7 linked regions of the Canis lupus familiaris genome follow. The protein of the gene in region 5 interacts with the protein of the main gene of each other region in a pairwise test. Links are inferred from orthologs where the notes say so. Each region holds a gene or a part of one and is shown on either strand. Other genes may lie near its edges. The genes, in order: SCGB1A1, PTCD2, UBQLN1, PTPN11, TRIM32, CLIP4 and UBE2V1.

What was found.
Region 1: the proteins of TRIM32 (region 5) and SCGB1A1 interact in binary tests that used the Homo sapiens proteins (3 or more experiments, as listed by UniProt). The two-hybrid records come from large-scale screens. The link is inferred for Canis lupus familiaris from reciprocal best matches to the Homo sapiens genes TRIM32 and SCGB1A1.
Region 2: the proteins of TRIM32 (region 5) and PTCD2 interact in binary tests that used the Homo sapiens proteins (3 or more experiments, as listed by UniProt). The two-hybrid records come from large-scale screens. The link is inferred for Canis lupus familiaris from reciprocal best matches to the Homo sapiens genes TRIM32 and PTCD2.
Region 3: the proteins of TRIM32 (region 5) and UBQLN1 interact in binary tests that used the Homo sapiens proteins (3 or more experiments, as listed by UniProt). The two-hybrid records come from large-scale screens. The link is inferred for Canis lupus familiaris from reciprocal best matches to the Homo sapiens genes TRIM32 and UBQLN1.
Region 4: the proteins of TRIM32 (region 5) and PTPN11 interact in binary tests that used the Homo sapiens proteins (3 or more experiments, as listed by UniProt). The link is inferred for Canis lupus familiaris from reciprocal best matches to the Homo sapiens genes TRIM32 and PTPN11.
Region 6: the proteins of TRIM32 (region 5) and CLIP4 interact in binary tests that used the Homo sapiens proteins (3 or more experiments, as listed by UniProt). The two-hybrid records come from large-scale screens. The link is inferred for Canis lupus familiaris from reciprocal best matches to the Homo sapiens genes TRIM32 and CLIP4.
Region 7: the proteins of TRIM32 (region 5) and UBE2V1 interact in binary tests that used the Homo sapiens proteins (3 or more experiments, as listed by UniProt). The link is inferred for Canis lupus familiaris from reciprocal best matches to the Homo sapiens genes TRIM32 and UBE2V1.

Annotation. Positions count from the first base shown.
Region 1 is NC_049239.1:54,708,844-54,712,779, reverse strand, and holds the start of SCGB1A1 (uteroglobin), read left to right. Parts: upstream 1-1,136; 5' UTR 1,137-1,238; coding exon 1,239-1,293; intron 1,294-3,936. UniProt on the Homo sapiens protein: Binds phosphatidylcholine, phosphatidylinositol, polychlorinated biphenyls (PCB) and weakly progesterone, potent inhibitor of phospholipase A2.
Region 2 is NC_049223.1:54,585,507-54,589,764, forward strand, and holds the start of PTCD2 (pentatricopeptide repeat-containing protein 2, mitochondrial), read left to right. Parts: upstream 1-1,458; 5' UTR 1,459-1,475; coding exon 1,476-1,587; intron 1,588-2,657; coding exon 2,658-2,750; intron 2,751-4,258. Other genes in the region: MRPS27 (28S ribosomal protein S27, mitochondrial), read right to left, coding at 1,288-1,360. UniProt on the Homo sapiens protein: Involved in mitochondrial RNA maturation and mitochondrial respiratory chain function.
Region 3 is NC_049222.1:76,346,940-76,351,119, forward strand, and holds the start of UBQLN1 (ubiquilin-1), read left to right. Parts: upstream 1-1,380; coding exon 1,381-1,560; intron 1,561-4,180. UniProt on the Homo sapiens protein: Plays an important role in the regulation of different protein degradation mechanisms and pathways including ubiquitin-proteasome system (UPS), autophagy and endoplasmic reticulum-associated protein degradation (ERAD) pathway.
Region 4 is NC_049247.1:10,377,068-10,380,567, forward strand, and holds part of PTPN11 (tyrosine-protein phosphatase non-receptor type 11), read left to right. Parts: intron 1-233; coding exon 234-301; intron 302-811; coding exon 812-963; intron 964-3,500. UniProt on the Homo sapiens protein: Acts downstream of various receptor and cytoplasmic protein tyrosine kinases to participate in the signal transduction from the cell surface to the nucleus. Positively regulates MAPK signal transduction pathway. Dephosphorylates GAB1, ARHGAP35 and EGFR.
Region 5 is NC_049232.1:70,873,600-70,876,230, reverse strand, and holds the end of TRIM32 (E3 ubiquitin-protein ligase TRIM32), read right to left. Parts: coding exon 1,557-2,631; 3' UTR 501-1,556; downstream 1-500. UniProt on the Homo sapiens protein: E3 ubiquitin ligase that plays a role in various biological processes including neural stem cell differentiation, innate immunity, inflammatory resonse and autophagy.
Region 6 is NC_049238.1:23,011,028-23,014,527, reverse strand, and holds part of CLIP4 (CAP-Gly domain-containing linker protein 4), read right to left. Parts: intron 2,878-3,500; coding exon 2,734-2,877; intron 1-2,733.
Region 7 is NC_049245.1:37,205,139-37,208,638, reverse strand, and holds part of UBE2V1 (ubiquitin-conjugating enzyme E2 variant 1), read left to right. Parts: intron 1-1,609; coding exon 1,610-1,758; intron 1,759-3,500. UniProt on the Homo sapiens protein: Has no ubiquitin ligase activity on its own. The UBE2V1-UBE2N heterodimer catalyzes the synthesis of non-canonical poly-ubiquitin chains that are linked through Lys-63.

The sequences.
Region 1 (3,936 bases), on a different chromosome or scaffold from region 5:
ACATACTAAGACAGAGTCAAATCACTATGTGGGGAAGCGGGGAAAGAGGCTCAAATGATAAGCAAAGGCCAGTGGACAAGGACCTTGTAGATCACACTTGAATTTTACGCTGTTGGCAAAGAGGATGATTTCAAAGGGTTTTAAGAAGGAGAATTGACATGATCAGCAGGTTTTAGAAAGATCATTCAGCTGGCCTTCCTGCAGATGGCCAAGGAGGGCAAGCTAGGGACGGGAAGCTGTTCGGAGTTGGGTCTGGCCAGCCCAGGCCTGTGTCCTAAGTCACATGCACTGGAGAAAGAAGGGAGCAGCTGTAGGTGTGGCCTCTGGAGGGCAAAAGGGGCTGCAACCAAAGTCTGGAACCGTTCACAGGTAACCACAGTCAGTAAAAAGCAAACATTTGAAGAACCAGGATGATCATGGAGGAAATCAGGAAAGAACAGGGCCGTGGGAGTGCAGGAGAGAGAACAGTTCAAGAAACAAAAGGTCAAAAAGGTCAAAGCCATGAAGAGGGCAGGTGAGATAAGGCCTAAAGTGCCCATGGATTTGGCCATCAGGAGGATAAGACATGAGAGCAGCTTCAGGCGGACACAGACTCAGCCTGAGGCAACACATTCTCCAGTCTGATCTGAGGCTTGGGTTTCTCGGGGGCTTTCCAGAGCAAGGCTTTATCTGTCTGCGTGTTTCTGTCCAGGGTCGCCCTGAAGCCTGACCACAGAGATGGATGCTCTGGTCCACATGACCCTCCAGCTGCAGTGGGAGGAGCCCAGTGGAGCATCAGGAGTCCCAAGCCGTGTGTAAGGGGCCTCAGGCCTCAGTTTCTCCTGGGGTGATAGGTCTGGGTGGACTCTGCAATTGCCTGGACTGCTCAGGGCTCAGGTTCAGTGAGTGTGGCACAGGTAGCCGGGCCTCCACACCCTCTGACCTAGGTCCTCTTGTGGCTTCCACTTGGCACTCCGGGTTTCCTGCTGTCCAAGTGCCTCATTTATGTGAGGTCAGTTCCAATGAGGAAAGCCACCGGGTTGAGAAAAGAGAATATTTACCTTTCCCACCAAGCTGATACCCAAGTAAATAGTGTGGTCCCATCCATGGAGCCCAGGCCCCACCCCTTTCCCTCCCTCCAGGTACAGCCTGGAGCATTTAAGAAGGCACCTCAATGAGCATGTCTCACACAAGACCACCGGGTCCAGAGACAGGCCAGGGCCTCCTTCGCCAGCCTCCTTGCCAGCCTCCTGCCCATCATGAAGCTCGCTGTCATCCTTGCCCTGGTCACCCTGGCTCTCTACTGCAGCCCTGGTGAGTTCCCAGAGACCCCTCCCCCAGGCCAGGCTCAGGAACCCTTCCTGCACCCTCCCTGGTTCTGCTTAGGACAGGGGACAGCTGTTTAGCTGGAATGCTGACTTCCAGCCAAGAAGCCGGGTCTGCGAACAGGCCTATCTCGGATACTTGGGGAGCACACTGAGCCGGGGAGGAAACCTGGAAGGGATCCCATCTTCCATAGCCAACAACTCAAGAATGACAGGGTCAAAACAGACTAGAGGCTGGAAAGGAGGAGATCCCGTATGGAGATTCCCGTAGGCATAATAATGAGCTCCTCAGAGCCCAGTCCTGGTGAGAGCCCAAGATGCCAAGAGACCTCGGTACAGTGCTGCCTTCACATTTGGGGTCTGCACACCACTCTGGCAGCCAAAGGGGCTAGAAGGAGCTACAGAGCCTCATGTCTCCAAAAGAAATCCAAGCTAAGGCAAGATCTTCCATTCTGGGCTTAGAGGAATATTCTAGAAAGGGATCTTCCCTTTGGGAAACTGCCAAACCAGAGTAGAGTTTTCTAAACATTTTCGTCCTCTGCCAAAAAGATTAGGAGTCTCTGAATAGTTGCAGCTGTCACTATGAGGGAAGGAATGAGGGAGAGGGAGGGAGGGAGAGAGAGGGAGAGAAGGAGGAAGAGAGAAAGAGAGGGAGAGAGAGAGAGAAGGAGGAAAAGGGGGGAGAGAGAGAGAGAGAGAGAGCAAGGGGGATCCCACCTCTCTCAACCCCGTGATCTTTTGGGAATTGGTTTTTACTCTGTATCAGCCTCTTCTACTGCTTTTAATAAACAAACACAAACAAAAAGGTTTTTGGGGTTTTGTTTTTTGTTTTTTTAGCCAATTTCAATTAATCCACTTTGAAAGTTTCATGACATCTATGGCAGTAGGTCTGATGACCCTGGGGGTTGGTGGCAGGAGAGTTGGAAAACCGAAACCAAGATGCACTGGGGACAAGTATTGTTCAGAGATATTTGTCTTTAAGGGGAAATAACATCATTTTGGACTGACATGTACAGTTGACCCCTGAACAGCATAGGGCTTCAGCGTGCTGACTGCCCCCCACACATTCAAAAATCTGCCTATAACTTTTGACTTTTAACTACTCCTAGCCTGCTCTTGACCAGAAACCTTACCAATAATATAAATCGCTGATTAACACATATTTTGTATGTTATATGTATTATATACTGTGTTCTGACAATAATACCCAACTTTTTCTTAATTTTTTTTCATTTTTTCTAGGCTATCCATTTCATTCGTCTTTCCAAATTGTCGCAAATCTCAAAAAAGATTTCCTTTTTTTTTTTTTAAATACTCTTTGGGGTATTTAGTTTTTTTTTAAGATTTATTTATTTATGATAGACATAAAGAGAGAAAGAGAGGCAGAGACACAGGAGGAGAGAGAAGCAGGCTCCCTGCAGGGAGCCCGACGTGGGACTTGATCTAGGGACTCCAGGATCAGGATCGCACCCTGGGCCAAAGGCAGGCGCTAAACCGCTAAGCCACTCAGGGATCCCCTCAAAAAAGATTTCCAACACACCTATTGAAAAAAAATTCACATGTAAGGGGCCCCAGGCAGTTCAATCCCATGTTGTTCAAAGGCCAATTGTACATTAATTAGATCTCAGGGCTGTGCATAGAGCAGGCAGCTCAGCAAGGTGGGGCTGAAATATGTTAGGGGGTGGATCTGGGATGCATGTGTATACTTGTCTGTGCACACAGGTAATAATAACAATAATAATATCTCCCATTTATTCAGCACCGACCATGTGCCAATCACTATTCTGAACCCCTTTTCATTCTTAACAATAACCCTGTGAAATTGGGATATTATTCCCATTTTACAGATGAGAAAGTGGAGCCACATAAAGATAAAGTACTTTGCCAGGTGACATAGTAAGTTGCAAAGCAGGACTCTAAGTTCTGGAGGGCATCTGACTTGGAGTGGCCACTTTGGGGTCCCTGGAGTCCAAGGCAGGGAAGCAGAAACTTTGCACACATGGCAAAGAATTCCAGAATGGGGACTGAGACTCAAGGCATAGGAACCAGTGACTGCCCCACATGTTCCTGGGGCAGGGGCCTAAAGGGGGAGCACAATCCAGGGAGCACTCCAGGCGGAGGGAACATAGTAGGGCCAGGCATGGACACAGAGGCTTGTGGGCCGGTGAGTAAGTGCACCACAGGGACCCAGAGCTCATGGAGGAAGCCTCTTCTGGGCCAGCTCAGGGGCTTGCACTTGGCCCACGCAAGTACTTCTTTCTGTGTGGCCCGACTGCCCCATGCTTCCCTGCACCAGCCACCTCCCCACCCCCGTGGCAAGTGGCTCAGACCATCACTAACCATTGGTAAGAGGCATGTTACTGGCAGAACAACAACCAGAAACCCTCGGTAGCCTCTTCCCAAACCCCACATTATGTAAAAGATCAGATCAGCAACTTCTTTCATCAGTGCTCTGCCTAGAACTCTAACGGAAAGAACAAATGGGGGGTGGGGGGGAGCCTGGGTGGCTCAGCGGTTTAGCACCACCTTTGGCCCAGGGCGTGATCCTGGAGACCTGGGATCGAGTCCCACGTCAGGCTCCCTGCAGTGAACCTGCTTCTCCCTCTGCCTGGCTCTGCCTCTCTCTCTCTCT
Region 2 (4,258 bases), on a different chromosome or scaffold from region 5:
TATTTAATAGCTGTTCCTAAAGCCTTGTGAACAGTGTACTTTTTTTTTTTTTTTTAAGATTTTATTTATTCATGAGAGACAGAGAGTGAGAGGCAGAGACCCAGGCAGAGGGAAAAGCAGGCTCCAAGGCAGGCGCCCAATCACTGAGCTATCTGGGCTGCCCCTACGTGTTGGTTTCTAACAGGAGCTGGAGAAGGTATGCTGGAAAGAGCAGATAACAGGCGCTGGAAACATCAGTTGTGATTACTGCATTTTAGTCCTATAATCCTGTACACGATTTATCTTGTATAAATGTCCATTTTTTTCCCCGACGTCTGTCAACAGATCCGTTTAAAAACCTTTTGAGTGAGGCGCCCTTTACTCAAATATCTTAGCCCAGTCGATCCTTGAATAATACCACATTGCACGGGTCCACTTATACAGATTTCCCCCCCAATCAATCCAGTCTTATAAATGTAATTCCCTATAAGGTTTTGATAACCCTTCCTAATATAGGCTACAACTACATAAAACATGTGTTGATGGACTTGTGGGTAAGGTCAACAGGAGGCTTGAGTTTTGGGGTGGAGTGGCGGGGTCAAAACTTAAACACAGGGGACACCTGGGTGGCTCAGTGGTTGAGCATCTGCCTTCATCCCAGGTCGTGACCCCGGGGTCCTGGGATCGAGTCCCACATCGGGCTCCCTGCATGGAGCCTGCTTCTCCCTCTGCCTGTTTCATGAATAAATATTTTTTTTTAAATCTTTTTAAAAACAAAGACTTCAGCACAACTTTTCAGCTGCCTGGGGTCCTGCCTTAACCGCTGAGAGGTCTAAGGTTCACCTGCGCCTTAGAGATAGGTACCTGTCGGCTGGATACAGAGCAAGGTCACTGAAAGGTTGTGCCTCGGGCCACCACGTAGTGGGAAATCAGTTCTGAAACGCTTATCCTACGCGGAGCCCGAAGGTCTCCCCAAGTCTGCGGAGGTAAGGCGTCACCCTAGGCCACCCCCCAAGGCCCCGAAGCGGGGAGGGGGGCACGTCCTAGCTCTGCGGCGGGCAGCGAAGAGATGGCCGCCCTGATGCAAAGCCCTGCAGGTCACCTGCAAGAGCGCGGGCGCCACGGCCTCACTGCGCACACCTCACAGGTAAGGGGACGGGCCCGAGGCCTCCCTTCCTCCCCCGCGTCACCCAACGCTCCAGCCACGAGATCCCGGAAGAACTTCCCGCGCTGTCGAGAGCCCGCAGCTTCCCGTCGCTTAAAGGAAGAGTCTCAAGGTGCCTACTAAAGGGGGCACCTGCCACCCACCTGCCAGGGAGCGCGAAGGCAGAGGCACGTTCCGGGCCAGAAGGAAGCCGCGCCACACTATGGGCGCCGCCATCTTGGAGCGAGTCCCTCCCCCTGCCCCTCCCCCGGCGGCCGCGCAGGAAGGGGTGTGGTCACGCGCCGACGCCCCGCCCCCTCGCGGCTCCCGTAGTTGGCGCGGCCCGGACAGCATGGCGGCCGTGGCTCGGCTGCCCGAGCGCGGGCTGCTGCGGGCGCTGCGCGGCTCGGTGCTTCCCGGGGCGGTAGGCTCCGGCTCCGCGGGCTGCCGCTGCCCGCTCGGAGGTATCCCCGGACTCTTGTGGGGACGGGAGGGAAGAGAGACGGGCGCCTCCGCAGCCGTGGCTGGTGGGCTGGAGCCGCGCCCCCGTCGCCCCCCGTGTGCTTGGCGGGCCGGGGGCGGCCGGGCGGGGGCCTCGACCTGGGCGCCGTCGTGGCCGCCGTTGCCGGGAAGCCCCACCCCCCGCCGGGTCTGGGAGTCGAGGCCTTCGACTGCGAGCTCGGGACCCCGGCCCTGCTGCCGCTCATATCCGAAGGACCTCGCGCGGTCAGCTCTCTTCGTTTGTAAAATTGCCCCTGTTTACTAAGCTTTATGGAAAAAACGTGAATGTGCCGGCGAGGGGAGGGGGTAATAGTTGGCGCTGGAGCGGCAGTGTCCCGGCTGCCTCCAGGCTTCCCGCCGTGAGCCGGTTACAGCCCTGCGGGAGGGGGTCTCTAAGTGGGCGGGGCGGAGCCTCCTAAAGAAACAATGTATCTCTTCTACTTAGAGCTGCGGTCGGCGACTTCCGAGACCCCTTGAGGATTGAGGATGCCGACCGGCCTGTTCCGAGGGGCTGTAGCTCCTCACTTCCCTACTGGGCAGAACCAGGAGGGCGGGGGCGGGGGCGGGGCGGGGGCGGGGGGGGGGTCACACTCCGCGGTGGGCTTTGCTTCCGCCAGCCCGGATAAACCAAAACGAGATATGCCGGTTTGACATTTAAGCCGTGACCTTTCGTGGTGGGTTTGGTTTGTTTGTTTTTTAATTTATTTTATTTTTTAATTTTTTTTAGCCCCTTGCGATCCCATAACTAGACGGGGAATGTACATTTATGTTTCACCTCCCAGGTTCCTCTCCACCCATCTCCATACAGTAAATCAGTAGCTCCTTTCTTAGGCACAAACGCACCTTGCTGAGAATCGGAATTCTCCGGTAGCCTAGAGATGCACACTTTCCCACCCGCGCGACCCTATTGGTAGCTGTCCAGTGGGAATATTCGTATTGACTGAAGATCAGAAAGGGAGTCAAGTTCTACTCCTGTTCGTGGAGTGTGAGACCACAAAAAAAATGGTTTTACTTTTTTTCTTTAATTTTTTAGCTAAAAGATACCTACTTACGGATAATACTGTGAAGTTAAAAGAATTTCAGCATAAGAAGGTGGCTATTGCATCTCATCTTCCTGGAACCAAAGGTAACTGAATCTGTTTTGTTAGTTGTTTTGGTGATGTGTACTTCAAGTTTTTTTCTGTCTTAGTCCCTATTCAGTGTCTTTCGGTGAATAGGGACTTGTGTCTGAGAAAAAATTGACAGGGTTTATTCTTCATTTCATAGTCTACCCTTCAGTGTGCTTTTTTTCCCCCCTTTTAAAGATTTTATTTATTCATGAGAGACACACAGAGAGAGGCAGAGACACAGGCAGAGGGAGAAAGCATGGGACTTGATCCCGGGACCCCGGGGTCACAACCTGAGCCAAAGGCAGACGCTCAACCGCTGGGCCACCAGGCGTCCCTCAATGTGCTTTTCATCTCACTTTCTACTACTGCAGACTCTACAGCTCTCCTTTTGCCACTTTTCCCAGGATCCTAAAGAAATGCTAAAATTAGTGTTGGAACCAGTCCTCTCTAGATCCATGCCACCCAAACTCAGGGTCAGGGATCAGCAGCGACTGGGAGTTTCCTAGAAATGCCAAACTTGAAGTCTCAGACTGTTAATAATCCTGAGAACTGCTCAATATGATTAGCTTTCACATTTTTGATGCACCTCTGAGTCAAAGGTACGTTTTACATAGTATCTCCAGTATATACTACGTGTCTATATACTAGTGAAATATAGTGGAACAACACTGTCCAGTGTGTGATGCATTTTTTTAATATTTGAGAGGGAGTGAGGGTGGGGGAGAGAGAGAGATAGAGGGAGAGAGAGAACCTCAAGTGAGTTCCTTGCTGAGTGTGGAGCCTGACACAGGGCTCGCTTGATCCAGTGACCCTGAGATCCTGACCTTACCAGAAATCAAGAGTTGGAAGCTGAACCAAGTTACCCAGGTGCCCCCTATGATGCATTTTCATATTTTTCTACTCTGCTGAAAAAGTCAATAGGCTAAAAACATTTTTTTTTAGATTATCAAAATATTAGTCATTGTTGAGCCTCAGTGATAGACACATGAGAGCATAATGTCCTCTCTCTATTTTTGGATATGTTTGAACATTTTTATTACAAATAGCTGAAAACACACCACCACGCTAGGTCTTAATTCCTTTCAGCATCTGAGAAATATTGATGAGTTCATTCCCTCTCTCCTTCACATTTTTTCCAGTACTTTAATTTCTTTATGAACATAGCAAGACTCTCTCTCTTGAAATAAATTTAGTTTGTCCCAACTGGCCTTTTCAAATCTCCTTCCTCTCACTGTCAAATGCTTATGAGCACCTAATAAACACTTATTGCCCGTAGCCCTCCAGAAATCTTTCCTGACTCCCCACTAATCCCTTGCTCCATTAGACCACCTGTGAAATGACAAGATAATCCTCAGAAAGTGAAGGAGGAGATACAAGTCTGCAGCATAGGGAGACTCAGTCTGGATTTTACTTCAGTCTTCTTTTTTACTCCTAGTCTTTTGGAGCTTTGTGAAGTTGATAGAATCAAGGGTTCACGTCATTTTTCTAGTTAGATCTAGTTGTCATAGTCATTCGGAAGCTATGA
Region 3 (4,180 bases), on a different chromosome or scaffold from region 5:
AAAAACACAAATACAGAACGTGTCTTTGCGTATTTGGGTCACTGTGGGCTGTCTGGGTTTCCATTTGCGCAATACTGATTAATAAAGCTAATGTCCTGGGTTCTATATTCCTTGCAAGTCATCTTTAAAGGCAAATGACGTCATTTCAAAGCCCGAGTTCTAGGGGGGGGGGAGATAATTAAATTATTTATACCCACACTCTACTAAAAAGGATTTTTGAACCTAAAATCTGAACTGCAGGAATAACTTGACAGAATGTAAAACGAACACCTCGGCTTCATTCAAGCGCCCCAGGTGGGGGGGGGGGGCAGCCCTTGGGCCCCCGTTTCTGCCCCCGTACTTTGCGGGGCAGCGTCCAGAGAATCCGGGGCGCTCGCGCAGGCTGTCCGGGCGGGGGGCGGCGGCCTGTCAGCAGAGGTGGCCTGATCGCCAGACCCAACCGGCTGACCCGAGGGCGGGCCGCCCGGGCCGCGGGGCAGTGACTCCGCGGGATCGCGCAGGGTGGCTACGGCCCACTCTTCCTTCGTTACGACGAAGCGCCTTCCTCCATTAACGTAGCTTCCACCTCCCGCGCACCGGGCAGTACGGGCAAGCATCTCAAAGGCCACAAGTGGGCAAGCGGACGGCTGTTACCGCGACACCCGGCACTCCCACTGCCCTCCCCGGGGTCCCGGGTGCGCGCAAAGGCGAGGCGAGCGCTACGGCGCGGAGGGGCCGGGCACGGCCGCCGCGGGGTCCGCAGGGGGCGGGGGCCGCCGCCGAACCACAGCGCGCAGGCGCGTCCGCGTCGCCCAGTGGTCGAGCTCCTTTCTAGTAACTTCGCTAGGCGTGAGGTCATCACCGCGCGCCGTTACCGTGCTTCCCAGAACACGCTAATTTGTTTTTTAGCCAAGGGGATGAAATGAAATGAACTGATCCCTCCCGCCCCATTTTGCTTTTAGCTCTCCTCTCCGGCTGCGCCTACCCTCTGGGCCATGGAGCCGGGACAGGGAAAGAAAGGCGGCCGGGGCTGGAAGCGGGGCTGGCCGGGCATGACTCGGCGACGCCGCCAGCCGACTTACCCGGCGTGCCCTGCGCGGCGCCGGCCGAGGGACGTGGGGGGAGGGGCGGGGAGGAGGAAGAGCGGCGGCGGCTGCGGATGTCGCTGCGACCGAGCGGCGTCTGAACTCACGGCGGCTGCCGAGCGCCCAGCCCGGGCCTGCGCCGGAGCCCGCGCCGAGCCCCGCGGCCCCTCGCCTGCCAGGGCGGCCCCGCACCGGTTGTCACTGAGGCGGCGTGCCCCGCGTTCTCCGCTGCCCGGGCCGGCCGGCTCTGCCGTCTGCTGGCTCCCCCTCGCTCGCCCGCTCCCTCCTGCGCGCCTGAGTCACCGCCGCCGCCGCCATGGCCGAGAGTGGTGAAAGCGGCGGCCCTCCGAGCTCCCAGGACGGCGCCGCCGCGGCCGAAGGTGCAGGCGCCCCCGCGGCCGCTGCGTCCGCGGAGCCCAAGATCATGAAAGTCACCGTGAAGACCCCGAAGGAGAAGGAGGAGTTCGCCGTGCCCGAGAACAGCTCCGTGCAGCAGGTGAGGGCCGCCCTGGCCGCGGGCCCGGGTGGGGGTGGCGGCGGGACCTCCGCCCGCGGCGGGAGGAGACCGTCCCCCGAGGTGCTGTCGGCCCGCCTCGCGGGTCTCGCCCCGAATCAGATCACACCCAAGTTGCCGGGTGTGCTCCTTGGGACACCGCAGAGGCTTGTGGCGGGGCCCCGCGGCCTGCTGTGGGACGCGCCGACGCCGCCCCCTCCCCCCGCTCCCGCGTCCGCGGACCACCAGCCCCCGCCCCAGCCCCCGCCCCCCGCCCCCCGCCCCCCGCCCCCCGCCGCCTCCCTCCCGCTGCTCACAAAGGAAAGGGACCACCGCCGCGCTCCGGGCGGGGTGGAGGCCGGGCTGGGCGAGGGTTCGCGGTAGCCTCCTCTGCGGTTTTGTCTCCTGAGTTAAAAAAAAAAAAAAGGGTGGGTGGGTGCCCATTGTTTCACCTGCTTGCAGCTTAAGGTCGATTTTGGGGCGAGGAGCACGTGTACATTTAGTTCTGCGTTTTGATTGCTGAAATCTTTTCTACCTTCTAATCTTCAAAAAAAAAAAAAAATTAACCATGACGTAGAAATCGTTTTCAGCCACATCTTAATAGTACTAGCCTTAAGGAAGAAAGGTGGATGACTTTCATTGATGACTTGCGGTTTTCTTTTTAGTGTTTATCATCCCTTAGGTGCCAGTCATCGGGAAGGTTTTTGTTTGATTTTAGAGGGATGGTAGCCACGTTTTGCAGATATTAGCGGTGGCAGTCGAATGCAAGAGAACAAAATTGGAGTTAATGGAGAATATTGCCAGATAATTTACTGCTTAAAATTGGGTTCGGGTGTACAAACTTTGCTGTTCAATTAAGAATCTTGAAGAATTCAACAAATTTGTTGTAGCTTATTGTTGAAAATATTTTGCATAGTTGTTGACCTCTGACGATCTAAAATGGGAACAGTTTGAGGGAACAACAATGTGAAATGTACATGTAAGTTTTCTCATAAACTGTAAATGGGATATTGGTTTACATAATCGTTCTGAAAGGTGGTGTAGAGTAGAGCAGGAAATAGTGGTGTAAATAGAGTAGAGCAGTAAGTAGAGTGTACCATCAACTGAGAAACTTTTACCACCTACTGAATCACCTTTTGTGTGTGTGTGTGTGTGGGGGGGTCCCCAATTGTATAAAAATTTCTCTTAACATTTTAATATTTTCTAACATCTAGCAGAGTTGAAAGAATGGTACAGTGAACATTCATAGTTCGTCACCTACAATTGACGCTTTGTTTTATTTGCTTTATCACGCAACTAATCATGTATTACTTCCTTTTACTTTTTGAATGCATTTTAGAGTAAGTTGCAAGTATCATTAAATGTTTTCAACAAATACACCTATATGATCCAAAGTTTTATCAAGATGTAGAACTTTACAGTTCAATCACTCCCCTCCATACATCACTGTTTTGATTTTTTTCACCATTAGTTTTTGCCTGTTCTAGAACTTCACATAAGTGGGATTATATAGTATATATTCTGTTGGGTAAGGTCTTTTCACTCAGTGTAATGTTTTTGAGATGCATTCTTGTATATGCCAGTAATTCCTGTTTATTGCTGTGTTTTCCACTGTGTGAATATGCCATTAATTAATGCATTCTGCTGAGGGCCACATGGGCTTCTTGCAGTTGGTTGCTGTGAACATACAAACTTTTTTTGTTGGACAGAGGGAGTTTTTCCTGTTAAAATTCTTAGAAGTGGAATGACTGGGTGATAGCGTAGTTGTAGGCTTAGTTATGAGAAACTGTCTTTTTAAAAAGAGCTTCTATCGCTCTTTTTTAAAGGCTGGTCGAAAAGAAACAACCCAGATGATTAACAACCCCTTAGCTGATGAATAAAGAGTAAAATGTGATATATTCCCCTACAATGGAATACTATTCGGTATTCCACCAAAGGTTCTACCAAAGGTTCTTGGGAGTTCCTGTTGCTCCACATCCCTGCTAGCATTTGATAGTGTCAGTCTTTTTCATTTTAGCTCTGCTAGGTATATTAGCTTTTGAAGCCCTTAGATCTTCTTTCTAGGATTGCTAATTCAGGTCTCCACCTTCATGCCTGCTTTCAGCATTTTATTGTAAAGGATTGGAAAGAGTCAATATTTTATAAATAGAAAAGTACATTTAAGTTATTTTATGAGGTACTGTCTGTTAGGATTTATATATATATTGTGTGTGTGAGAGTGACATTAGAATTTTAAAGCCTGTGGGAGTTTTAATTTTACTTTTCTGTAACCAAAGTAAATTGGTTAAATTAAAGCTTTTCCGAAGCAACTTATTCTGATGACATTTGAATTTTTATTCTGAAAAGTGCTTTCTGTTGTCATTCGTTCATTAAAATTAGTGCAGAGAGCAGAAGGGAGCTTCCAGGTAACGTGTCTAATTAGCTTGTTCCGGGATTTTGTAGTGCTCTAGGTTATAGTAAAAGATTTTGAAATCTAGTTCTCTGAAATATTCAGGCAACATATATTCTAGTCTTAGAAAACATTTTTATCATTTGAAACTTTTAGAATATTCGTATACTTAGATATAACAAGTATTGCATAGATTTGAGCCTTTTCTTGTTAAGGGAAATTGCTGTGTGTCAG
Region 4 (3,500 bases), on a different chromosome or scaffold from region 5:
AAGGTCAAAGAGGTATGGGATTTGCCTTGGGAAGTCCTAGAGAAGCTGGGCTCCACGTGTGGATTGGACTAACCCCAAAGCCCTTAGCTAATCTATTCTCAAATACAAACAGGCAGTCTTATAAATACTCTCAAGAGCAGACATTGTTTCTGTTCATATTAATAGTGTGGGTTTGAGTCCAAAACCCCTATGAATGGCTCCAGCGTCATTGCTCTTTGTCCTTCTGTCCACAGTGCTGGGATTGGCCGGACAGGGACGTTCATTGTGATTGATATCCTTATTGACATCATCAGAGAGAAAGGTGGGTCATCTGGAGGGCAAGAAGTTGTAAGTTCTTTTTTAGTTTATGGAAGGAAAGTGCTAGTGAAAATAGCCTGGAGGAGAGAATTTGAATGTTAAAACATTTTTAAAAATCTGGGCTGAAGACTTTGACTTTCAGTTGTTTATAGGAGAACAAAAGTGATTCTATTTGAGCCTTTGACATAAAATGAAGCCCAGGAGCCGTGGTCCCGCTGCTGTGGTCTTTTGTTGAATATGCAGTGGTGGTCTCTGGGGTGGTGCTGATGGAGAGTCCTGACCTCCGATACTTAATCAGATCATTTTCTGGAATCATTTGTATTAGTCAGAAGGCAGTGTAGCCCTTGAAACATGTTCAGTTAGAACATTAAAGACTACATTTAAAAAAAAATTAAAAAAAAAAAAAAAAAAGACTACATTTACTATATCTCTGAGTCTGCTAAAAGTTGTGCATTAAACCACTTCATCCTGGCCCCACAGTTTCTCCTAATGCTTCATGGTGCTTGCTTTGCAGGTGTTGACTGCGACATTGATGTTCCCAAAACCATTCAGATGGTGCGGTCTCAGAGGTCAGGGATGGTCCAGACAGAAGCACAGTACCGATTCATTTATATGGCTGTCCAGCATTACATTGAAACACTACAGCGCAGGATTGAGGAAGAGCAGGTACCAATCCTGGAGGGGGCTGGTGTGCATATTTGTACTTTCTTTTCTGGGCAGCTCTGATACACTCTGCTTTTGAGCAGGATGGGCCTCTAAGAGATAGCTGTTACTGTTCAGGAATGAGAAACTCATTCCCAACCAGGAAGGGCCTCTCTGGAAACTATTCCCCACTTCACAACTCTGGTATTTCAGCAGAGGGTAGCTTGGAGATAGCTGCTATCATCCTGGCCTGGCAGATTGGGGAACTGCCACGTGGAAAGGTTAGGATTTTCCCAGACAACATCCCAGGATTCTCACATGGCAAGTTTGGAAATGAAAGCCTTGAAGTTTCCAGCCTGTTCCTGTTTAGATCCAGGCCATCTTTATCCTGATCCCATCTCTTAAACAAATGCTTCACTCTTCATAGCACATAGCAGTTTGAACCATAAACTTGGTTGAGTTGGAAACAGTGAAATTTCAATTTTAATAAGCCATGCATAATGAAGAAGAATGTGGAGTTGGAGCATTTCCATTTGAAGCTATTCATAACAGACACAAAGCTGAGTTAATTAAGAATACGCTGAGATGAGGGAAATGAGGAGACTGCTCCTTTGGGGATCTGGGCATCTCCCCCCCACCCCCCCACCCCCAACTGCTCTGCTGCAGACAGGGGAATGTCTAAACAGCAGTGATATCTGCCTACTTTACCCTGTGTATTGCCTTCCAGAGAACCCGGCTTCTCAGAATGGCACCTGCCAGCGAATTGAGAGACTTCTAGCCTAGCAGAATAGCAGCCACATTATCAAAAGCTTCATTAGCCAAAGTAAGATATCTGTCAGCTTAGTAGGTTCTCAGTTCACATAAAAAGACTAGATTATGGGGTGCCTGGGTGGCTCAGTCGGTTAAGTGTCTGACTCTCGATTTCAGCCCAGGTCATGATCTCAGGGTTGTGAGATTGAGCCTGGCACTGGGCTCCGTGTTCAGTGCAGAGTCTCCCTCTGCTCCTCTCTCTGCTCGTTTGCATTCTCTCTCTCAAATAAATAAGATCTTAAAATCCAAAACACTAGGGGCAGCCTGTGTAGCTCAGCGGTTTAGTGCCGCCTTCAGCCTGGGGCATGATCCTGGAGACCCAGGATCGAGTTCTGCGTCGGACTCCCTGCATGGAGCCTGCTTCTCCCTCTGCCTGTCCTCTCTCTCTCTATGTCTCTCATGAATGAATAAATACAATCTTTAATAAAAAATTCAAAACACTAGATTGTTTTCGTTGTACAAAAACATCTTCAGCAACGGTGTACGTATAGAAATATAAGGTCAAATAATCAACATGGTACCAGTTTTGACCTTCAGTGCTTTAAATCTGATTTGGTGTTATCGTAATTGTTACAAAATATTTAGATGGTTGCTATAGGCTATTTTCTATTTGTCTTCCAATTATACTGAATTTGGGCCAGGAATAAAACATGAAGTTGCCCATATAGAAAGACCTCCTAATAAATACAAAGAGAATGTAGCACACTATTGGTACAAATTCAGGAATATCTTGAAGCATATAATCTTGTTTGGAAAAGCTAGGGGAAAAGCTCTCTTTATTTCATTCAGAAGTTTTGGTATTTATCCTTGTTTTGGCAACTTTAGTAGGGACTTCCCCAGCCTTACAGCACTTGAGATCTTCTGAATTACCGTATATAGTCTCTCTGACCCTAAATCTCAAGATGTAATTTGGATTTAAGAACTCCTTTAAAGATAGCTTTATCGGGCAGCCCTGGTGGCGCAGCGGTTTAGCGCCGCCTGCAGCCCAGGGTGTGATCCTGGAGACCGTGGATCGAGTCCCACGTCGGGCTCTCTGCATGGAGCCTGCTTCTCCCTCTGCCTGTCTCTCTCTCTCTCTCTCTCTCTCTCTCTGTGTCTCTATGAATAAATCAGTAAAATCTTTTTTTTTTTTTAAAGATTTACTTATTTATTCATTCAGAGAGAGCTACCCTAAATCAGTAAAATCTTAAAAAAAAAAGCTTTATCACCCCAGGGTCAGGAGGGGGTAGAAAAAAGCAGAACATATTCCTTGATAATTTAAGTCTTATAGAATATCGAAACTGGATGTCACTGATAATCCTATTTGAAGAGTGCTTCAAATGAATGCATGCATTCATTCGTTCAGCCAGTACTTTTTGGTGCCAATATGTGCCAATATTGTCCTTATTAGCACATTAACTGCTCTTTGGGATCTGAGCCTTCAGAGTTTAAAAAGATGGGTTGGGGGATCCCTGGGTGGTGCAGCGGTTTGGCACCTGCCTTTGGCCCAGGGCGCTATCCTGGAGACCCGGGATCGAGTCCCCCATCGGGCTCCCGGTGCATGGAGCCTGCTTCTCCCTCTGCCTGTGTCTCTGCCTCTCTCTCTCTCTCTCTCTCTCTGTGACTATCATAAATTAAAAAAAAAAAAAAAAAAAAAGATGGGTTGGCTTATTCATTTTTAAAAATGAGATCCTATAACGTGTAGTTCCATTTAATTCCATGTATGAACTTACTACCTGATTTTGTGGTAGAATTAAGAAGTACCTTCTTCT
Region 5 (2,631 bases):
TGCTACCACCAAAAAAACAAAACAATTTTGAGTAGCCCAGCTTAGCAAATCTGGTTTCTTTAAAAAGCAGGGTGATGGCTCTTTGGCTTGCCATCAGCCCTGCATCTACAGAGCAAAACTCTGTTGCTCAGTAAAAACCGAGCCTGAGGATCCTTGTCACAAATTCCCTCACCCCCTTCTGGTCTTTTTTTTTTTTCAAAAGACAAGGCTTCTTCCTTTTTTGAACTCTAATGACAAAGATATAAAATGGCGGAGGCTCAATTTCTAACAGGACGTTGGTGACTCTGTAGACCTTGGGGGGTGATTCTGTACACGTGTGTGTCGGAGTAAACTTTGGAATTCTTTACCTAATGGTGCCTTAGGCTGAATTTTGATTGGGGGTAGGTCCTTAATGGTCTCAAAGACTGCAGTGTCAGATACGGAGGCGAAACAGCCTGGTACAACTTATCCCTCTCATCTCCCAAATCCCATATTTAATTAAAAGACATGAACACCAGCGATGAAGAAACAGTTATCAATTATTTAATTCTTGATGGAGAAATGGAAATAAATCTCAAAACCAAGTATTAGGCAGTCACTTGAGGAAAATACAGAATAAAGACCGAACAGTTCTAATGAAAATGAGATGTGTCCACCTCCCCACTTGGTGGACCCTGGCCTGTGTTGCGCAGTTCTGCAGACAACTCTTGGCAGAGGCCAGTGGAGAGAGGTAATATGAAAAACGATGAGCTCTAGAAACTATCCAAGAGTATTAACTGACTAGGTTATAGCATTTGTTTTCGTTTATTCGCATCGTTCTGTGCTTTGAAATAATTCCAATCTATACGCTGCTGGAAAAGGCAAGCACTTTCCAGGCTAAAGTCTTCAACATCAACCAACTAGGGTCAATCCATTCTCTGTCACATCTGCAATTAGAGACCGATCCAAGATGGCACAAAACCCCCAGAACCAAGACGGACTGCTTCCCAAAAGGACTGCAGGTCTCCCTTGATGGCACTGAATGAATGAGCTTCCACTCTGATAAAGGTGACGAGAGACCGGCGACATCATGCCACAGGGATATGATGTCTAAAACGAAAGGCGGAGCAGATCCCACTGGAGCTTGCACACTAAATGCAGCAGAATCGAAGAGAAAGTGTCACGTATGAAGTGCATTATAGTAAGAGGGAAATACGAGACCAGGGTTAGCCAAGCCAAAAGAGGGAAATCAACAAGGATTCAGTACAAGGGCAAATTCCAAACACGGGGGCAAAAGGCTCTCTACTGAAGCCTCAGAAGTGCCTAAGTTCTAATCAAACTTCAGCTAACCCCATATCAGATGTCCTGTTTGGGGAAATACATCTGTTCAAACTCTAAATTTAGGAGGGAAATAATGCAAAACAACAGCAACAACAACAAAAAAAAACCCACCCACTAAAAGACAGCTTCTAAAATTCTAGGACTAGCCAGCGGGAATAAAGACACAGGCCCAGTGCACTCTACAGTATCACTAATAACCGAGGGATAAGGGGAAGGAGGCTGGCTGGGAAGCAGAAGAAATTGTTCTCTCTTATCCCCTAAGGGGTAGAGTATCTTCTCAGATGGTAGCTGTAAATCTTGATGCAGTGATCCCAACAGTCCAAGACCAGGAGCTGCCCTTTAGGAGTGAGGGCGATGCCCACCGGACACGTGAGCCCCTCTCGAATGAGGACGCTATAGCCCCCACCCTTGGGAAAGTGGAGAATTTCCTTTCGACTACTGTCAGCCACGATGAGGTCACCACGAGCATCCACACACATGCCGGCGATGCAGCGGAAATCCTCATTCTCTGAGAAGAAGTGGCTGATCTGGCGACCCAGCTGGCCATCGGGGCCCACGGAGCCGATGGAGAAGCCGCCCTCCAGGTGGTGCTCATTCTGCCGATTCTCCAGATTGAGGCCCAAGCCCTGGGTGAAGTAGACGGTGCCCTCCGCGTCACAGGTGACAAACTTGGGCCGCACGGCGCTACAGAGGCAGCTGTATTTGACCACCCCTGCTCCTCGGTCAACGGTGAAGCACCAGAGCTTTCCGCCCTCCACGTCAGTTACCACAAACTGGCCGGACGGAAGGGCCGTGATGCCCCAGGGTTTGCTCAGCTGGCTCCTGTGACAGGCCACGCAGTGGCCATCCAGGGTATACACCTTGAGGGAGTTGTCATAGCTGTCGGTTACACCGATCAGTCCTTGGCAGTTCATGGCCACTGAGAGAGGAGTGAGATTGGGCAGATCGGCGCCAAGGAAGCTCAGCACGAAGCTGTCGATGCCACTAGGGCTGCGGCGGATCTCCTTCAAAAAGCCTTTCCGAGTAAAGACTTGTATACGGTAGTTGCCCCGGTCAGCAACCAGCACCTCGCCTTGACTGGTCACGTAGAGACTGACCGGAAGGTTGAACATGCCTGGAGTGCTGCCCTTGGCCCCCATCTTCTTGAGGAAGAGGCACTGCTGCATATTGGCGGCTGGCTCGGCACCCCGCTGCTTAGCAGGTGAGGCCCGGGGGCTGGCAGCCACTTCCTCGGGGCTCATGTCCATCTCTCTGAACGTAACGGAGGTAGAGGCAGCAGAGGCTGCAGCCTCCATGGCCCAGGAATCTTCCATGTTGACTGTCCGGGGCTTT
Region 6 (3,500 bases), on a different chromosome or scaffold from region 5:
ACAAGAATAGGTGGCAGGTTGGATTTGGCTCATGGCTGTAATGTACCAATCCTTATCTACTAAAATGCTAGAATTAGAGTAGTTCACTGGGATTCAGTGTGAGTTATACATACAGGAATGTGATCTGAATGTGAAAACTGCTCTAAGTTTCCAATGAGCTCAAACTGATTTCCTTATTAGGAACTAAACCACTCCCCCTCACCTTGATTCAAGCCTAATCCCTGAAATCATTTAAACATCAGAAGTCCTAGAGAAATACTGTCTAGAAAATGGTTCAATTCTAACAGAGAAAGAGTGGGCCCCTTCATGCTTCTTCCATCCACCCATAAACAGACTTGAACAGTTATCATCTAGAAAGGCCTAAAGAAGCCTCTGTGGGGGCAGGGGACAGAGGATAAGACACCACCAAAGGGAGGTGGCTTTAGCCATGGCAACAAATGAGGAACATAAACCCAGAGAGAAGAATGTCTGGATAAAGTGCTATACTAAAACTCCCAGGTCCTCATAATAGCTAATATTTCCATAGCACTTCACAGTTTACAAAGTGCTTTCCATAGAATTCTAACTATAGAGAAGATACATACTCAGAAATTAATTAAGGCATGGTGCTCACAGGCAGTTGACAGTACACCAGGATTAAAGCCTGGGCCCTCAGGCCACAAGTCCTGAGGCATGTTCCCAGGCTATGCAATGGACCAAGGGCAACACATTCAACATCACAGGATACAGCAATGCTGAGAAAACAGACCTCCTCTTCTACCTCTGCCACACCTCTAACCTTTTCCTTCTGCTCTTCATCCTAACCTCCCAATATGTCTGCATCCCTCAAATGCAAACCTATGAGAAAATGAAGTATCTACTCACTCTAGAAAAGTGTCCCAGGGAAACATCTTTGAGGCCCCAGACATGGACTTTCTCTCAGGGATCTCCCATTCTCTCTCCTTCCCCTCCTAAGAGGTCTGCTTTCTCACTCTAACTGACAGGTCTCTTCACCTACTACTATCTAAGCCTACATCAGGCCTAAATTTGTGAAAAAGGAAAAAAGTTAAATATGTAGGTACACTAAAAACTACTTCTTATAAAAAAGTAAAAAAAAAAAAAAATGTACTTCCACACCCACATACACATTTTAAAATCAAATAAATGTCAAAAGCCAAGTGAAGGAGGCCTTGCAACATGAATAAAATGAGGATAAGCAGGAGTGCTACGTCACAGTCCTCACAACTCTGTTTCTCAGGCCTGAAAATGCTTGTTAAGGAAAGAGCATCTACTCAGAATACAAGTTCTAAGTAAACAGTTTGAGGCAAAGCTTCTAGGTTCTCTACTTTTAGAGTCTCCCAACCTGTGGGTTTGGCATGTCAATGCTATTGCTGAGGGTTCCTCCCCATCACTGTACAGTATGTATTTTAAAGAGAAAATAATCCCATCGGAACATTTTCTATAATAAAATATTACTTCAATACAACTGTTAAAAGTATTTGAAAGAGAACCTGGTAACTATTATGAGGTTCATTGAAAACAATTTATGTCAAAATGGTTTCACTTCTTTTCTGGACACATCTGCTACATAGGTAAATAAGTGAATGCAATGTACTCCATGTATGTTGATTGTGGCAAGATGCCTGCTATGAAGCATTTCCTATATCCTTACACATAACTGGAGAAAGGGGGACTGAATAAGGTTATGCAGGACTCAGAATGAATTAAAAAGCCACATCCAAACAGGTTACCGTCATCAAGCTGTCAGGAGAGCCACTGACCCTCTCCTATTTAGTTTTAAACAAAGACTTGAACTTTAAATATGAAGATGATACAAAAATATGTGGAAAAGCTAATATGCAAGATGTAAGAAACAAAATGCAGAGGGATAGAGCCTCGAGTGTTAAACTAAGTGAGAATGTGTGTAAAGTCCTATGTGAAGCAGCAACATGAAGAGCGCTGGCATGAGGCTCCATGTGGGCCGGGTCCACAGTGTGGTCACCACCCTGCAGGAACAGCCTTACACCGTAATTGTGCCACGGGCATCAGTTTGGCTCTCTACAGGCTGGCCCTGAGGGGTCTGGAGACCCGGGAGCAAGAAGAAGAGCAGAAAGTGCTTGGGATGGAGGCAAAACCATACCAGCAGCAGAGAAAGCAGCAGACAGACCTCAGGGTGAAGCCCAGCTGTGCCACTTGGAAACTGGCATCAGGCACCAATGACTTACCTCCCTAAGCCTCGGTTTCCTCATTCATAAAATGAGGATGATAGTAATAGTACCTACCCATAGGTTTGTTTTGAGAGTTAAGTGAAATAAGGTCTATAAAGTGCTTAGAATAGAACCTGAAATAATAAGTATACAATACATGTTAGTTATTATTAGGTCTAGATTAGAAAAGAGATAAGAAAGGTAATAACCACATGGTTTCCACACATCTAAGTATCTACCATAAAATTCTAAAATGCACCTTAAAGGGTCAGAGGCATTACAAGCATGTGGAAGGGAAGAGGGGAGTCCAGACAAGGAACATGGCAGGAGCACTGGGAGGAAGGCAGGGAGACCAAGGACGCTCATGGGGGGCAGTGGGGAATAGGGGGGACGGGGGAGGGGGGCAAGGGAAAGACAGAAGAGGGCAAGTAGTTCAATCTGACTGAAGTAAAAGGTTCCTTCTACACATTTAAAAAGATCAAATCTACTTACAAACAAACCAAGATAAAAAACACCAAGAAAGCCTGGTTGAAAAAGCCATAGATACCAGCACTGGCTCTAGATGAGACAGACGGGCTTTTGCTCATTGTCTTCTTGTGATTGTTACGTGCATTCAGTTTCTTGGTGTAGCCTGGTTTGTGTTCCAAAGATGATGTGGAGGAGGAGCTGCTGATGGATCCAAGCAGAGTAACTAAAACAAGGTAAAGGAAAAGAACATATCAAAGGTTGGAAAACAAGAAGTGAACCAACAAGATGGCTTTCCAGGTAAAACCCTCTGAAGCTCATCCAGTTAGCTTTCTCCATTGTGGATTATCTAGTGTTGACTTAAGTGCCTGGTTTCATCCAACTGTGCCGTAATTCATACAGACAAGATTTTATATCCCAAGCAATTGTACTGTAAGGATTCGCGTTGGAGGAGGACACTCTCACGCAGGAGAGTAGCACCCATTGCCAACAGAAACCGACGACTTCCCTGTTCTACCCACTTTCTCTCTCACCTCCCACTTTAGATGGCTTAGCAGAATCTAACCTGATTTACACTTAAGAAGTCTCTTAATTTGTTTTAAGATAACAAAAAGGTAGTGTTAAAATGTTTTGAGCCAACCTGAAGGCAAACAGGAATACTCTTCAATGTTCTATTCGTGTTCTATTCACCGAATGATTTGAGAGCTGACAACCACTTTAAACATTTTTACCAAGCTGTCTACACTGTGATGTTTTCTTTTCATCTCTCTTTTAATTTAACCTGGTAGCTCTCTAATCTAAGTGTACACAGATGCACCACACAGCATTTTATAACCAAAGTCATGTTTA
Region 7 (3,500 bases), on a different chromosome or scaffold from region 5:
ACTCCTCTGTTCAGAACTCCAGTGGCTTCTCAGGTCAGTAGTAGTTGGAGTCCTTAACGACCCACTGCTCTTCCATCTCACTGACTCAGTTTTAGCTGAATTAGGATCTTGCTGTTCTTTGACATCCCAGGCAAAGTCTTACCCAAGGGTCTTAGCATTTGCTGTTTCTTCATTGGAAGACCCCCCTGAGCTGTGCATAGGTCATGCTCCTTCATGTGAGGTCTTAGTCATGACATCTGGTCTCAGTAAGGCTTTCTGTGATCACTCCATTTAATGTTGTAGCTCTTCCCCCATTACTCCCTGCTCCAGAACTCCCAACAGCTGTCCTCCTATATATATATAGTTCGTATTTTTGTTTTGTCATTTTATGTTTCCCACTAGAAGGTAAGCTCCATGAGGACAGGCATTTTTGTTTTGTTCACTGCTTATTCCCCATTGCCTAGGAAAGTGCCTGACCTATAGTGGATTCTCGGGTATTTACTCCAGTTGAATGAATAGTAGCGGGAGTCCCACCTTAGAAAACACAAGGTATACTGGGAACACCTCCCAGTCTGGAGTCTCTCCAGTGGGTTTTCCTCCACGGTTACGTGGTAAGTGCTGCTCGCTTCATGGAGTTTGGCCAGTTGGGGGCTCAGCATTGAAGGCAAGAGAGAGCTTGTAACTTGTCTGAATCTGAGGGGTTTTTTCCCCCAGAGGTAATAGTTCAAATGCCAGGGAGGGAGGTGGGAGGAGGGGAGAGGCAGGCAGGATTGGTTGGGAGAGCATCCCTGGGAGAGTTACTTGGTGCCCAAGCACAGGAAGAAAATTGCTCTCCCTGCCCTCCCACAGCCTCGTCCCCTACCTGGCCCCAATGCCTCGGCTCTGTTCTGGAAAACACCCAGAAATGGCTCAAGCCTCAATCTGAACTCAGGTATAGTAGCTTGAACCTATGAGATGTGTTTGTGTGATTCCTTCCGTGAGCTACTTGCCAGGCTTTGGAATTTCAGAAACAAGTAAATCAGGGAACCAGCCACCCTCCTTTGGCTTTTTCATAAGAGAGAAACTGTTTTGAATAGTTGAAAATTTTATCCTTGGTGCCTTCAGTTGACTCTTAGCTGATCAAAAGGACACCATTTTTATTTTATGCAGCCCTGGCGGCTGTTCCTCCTGAGGTAGTTTGAGTGTCATTCCAACAAAATGCACACACACCCTTAACCTCAGAAATGTGTAATAAGAATGAAACAAAAGCAGTAGCCTCTTCTCTCCTGAGGCACTTAATCCTCATGATACCGATTTTGGTGGTTTTCATCTGTTCTGGACCCAAACTGATCAACATTTTGACATGTAAACTCTTGAAATTTATCAAAGCTGCGGGGCCGGGGGGTGGTGGTGGTCCTTCTAGGCTTGGTTCAGTGGTCACATCACCTGAAACAAAACCACGTGCCCCTTCCGTGTGGGTGTGCTGGTCGGTACTAGAAGCTCTGTAAGCAAGTTGGAGGGATGACAACTTTGAGCCATTTTTTGCATGTTAGCATCTTTATTTCCACGTAGTAATAATGAGCAGCTAGATCCAGGCTTACAGGTTCCCCTGGAGTTGCTAGTATCTTGAATTTCTTTCCATTTATTTTAGGAGTAAAAGTCCCTCGCAATTTTCGACTGTTGGAAGAACTGGAAGAAGGCCAGAAAGGAGTAGGAGATGGCACAGTTAGCTGGGGTCTAGAAGATGACGAAGACATGACACTTACAAGATGGACAGGGATGATAATTGGGCCTCCAAGAGTAAGCGTCGAGCTACGGCTATAAATGTCAATGTCTTAAATTCACTGTGCCTCCTTTTAAGAAATATTAGCCTTATCACGGAAAAAGCTCACCAATGGTATATTTTCTGAAATGTGGCTATTCTTTTTTGACCAGTTTCAGTTTATATATTTGAACCTCCTCTGATGCTGTTTAATCCCTCTCATGGTAAGCAAAAACCTGTTTAGACTCATAGTGTGAATTTACATAACATGTAGACAGGGAGGTGTGAGGTCATTACACCCTCACGGCTAGTTTAGAACAGACTCTTGGGCTTATCAAATAACAAGGCCCCAGATACAGTAGCCAGCGTTCCGAAGACAGCATCCAAACAAACTTTGGAACGCCTTCATGGTTGTGGTTTTCATTTACAGTTTCCCAGGTCTGCCACACACTCATGTCCTAATTCATCAGGCCATTCAGCAAAGGCTTATTGCCTGCCTGGTTGGCTCTGGTCTCTTCCAGGCACTATGAGACCCAGAGGCCTTTGCAAAGAAGACAGAGACAACAGGGATGAGAAAATTGACCTCTCTTTTAGAGCTTTGTGATTTGTGAGAGTTCCCAGGCTTTGTAGTACCAGCTAACTTTTTAGTGTACATAGTAAAACCTCCAAGAAATGTCATTGAATTCTCACAAGAACCTGTTGTTAAGAGCTACTATTGTGTTGTCACATCCAATTTTACAGGTGACAAAACAGAGAAGTAAAATTACTTGCCCAAAGTCACATAGCTGATAATTCCCAAAGGGGTTCTGAGTCTAGACCCTGTACTCTTAACCCTATGCTCCATTATCTCCTGTCTGTTTAGATTTTGAGTTTTCATGTGTTCCCATTATAGAATTTTCCAGAGTGTTAAGTAGTAATATGAGGTAGGAGTGAAGAAATAGATTCTCATAATGTGACACTTGTTTCAGACCATGGGAGATTCCGTCTGAATGTAACAGGACCTTTCCTGTGTGTGCTCAAAGATGGTGGCAGCCAGTCATTCTTTTCACTGTGTGCACAGGCTCTGCACCAACTCTGTGGGAAGGAGAAAGACATAGGATGTGGCCCTGGCTGAAACAAGGAAGAGGGTCATGTTCATTAGGTGTTAGGACAATCTACCGTTCATCTTGGACTATCGTAAATACACACAGTGAATGACTGGCTTTGCTATTTAACGTTGCTTCTTGAGTCATCTTTAACCCTGTGGTTTTGTTTTTTGGGTTTAAAAATATATATATTCAATTTACTGTTTTTTACTCATTTCTTTATCTTTTTAAAAAATCTCTGAAAACTAGGATTTATAAATCTATTAAATACTGAAGAAAACCTGATATAGAAAACTCGTTTCTTCATGGAGATCATTTCTTGCTGTTTCTGAAAGCCCACTGTATGGTGATGGCTTCCTTCACTGCATTTCTTCTTTTCCTAAGAATGGTTAGGTTTCTTGAGGGTGAAAACTATTCTTCCCTCCTCCTTGCTCTCCAGAGCACCTGGAAATGACTCGGAATGGGGCAGTTGTTCAATAGATTTGTTCATTAGCGGACTGATTTTCAGGTTCTAACAAATTAAGAATGGACCAGTGTACAACATTGCGAATACACTAAATACCACTGAATTATACACTTAAACAAATGAGCCACCAAATTCCATTGAAAATATTCTGTTCTACCTACAACACCTTAGGTTACCCTGCGTTTCAGTTTAACTCTTTCCACAGGGGGCTTGCTTAGTGAGTGGCTAC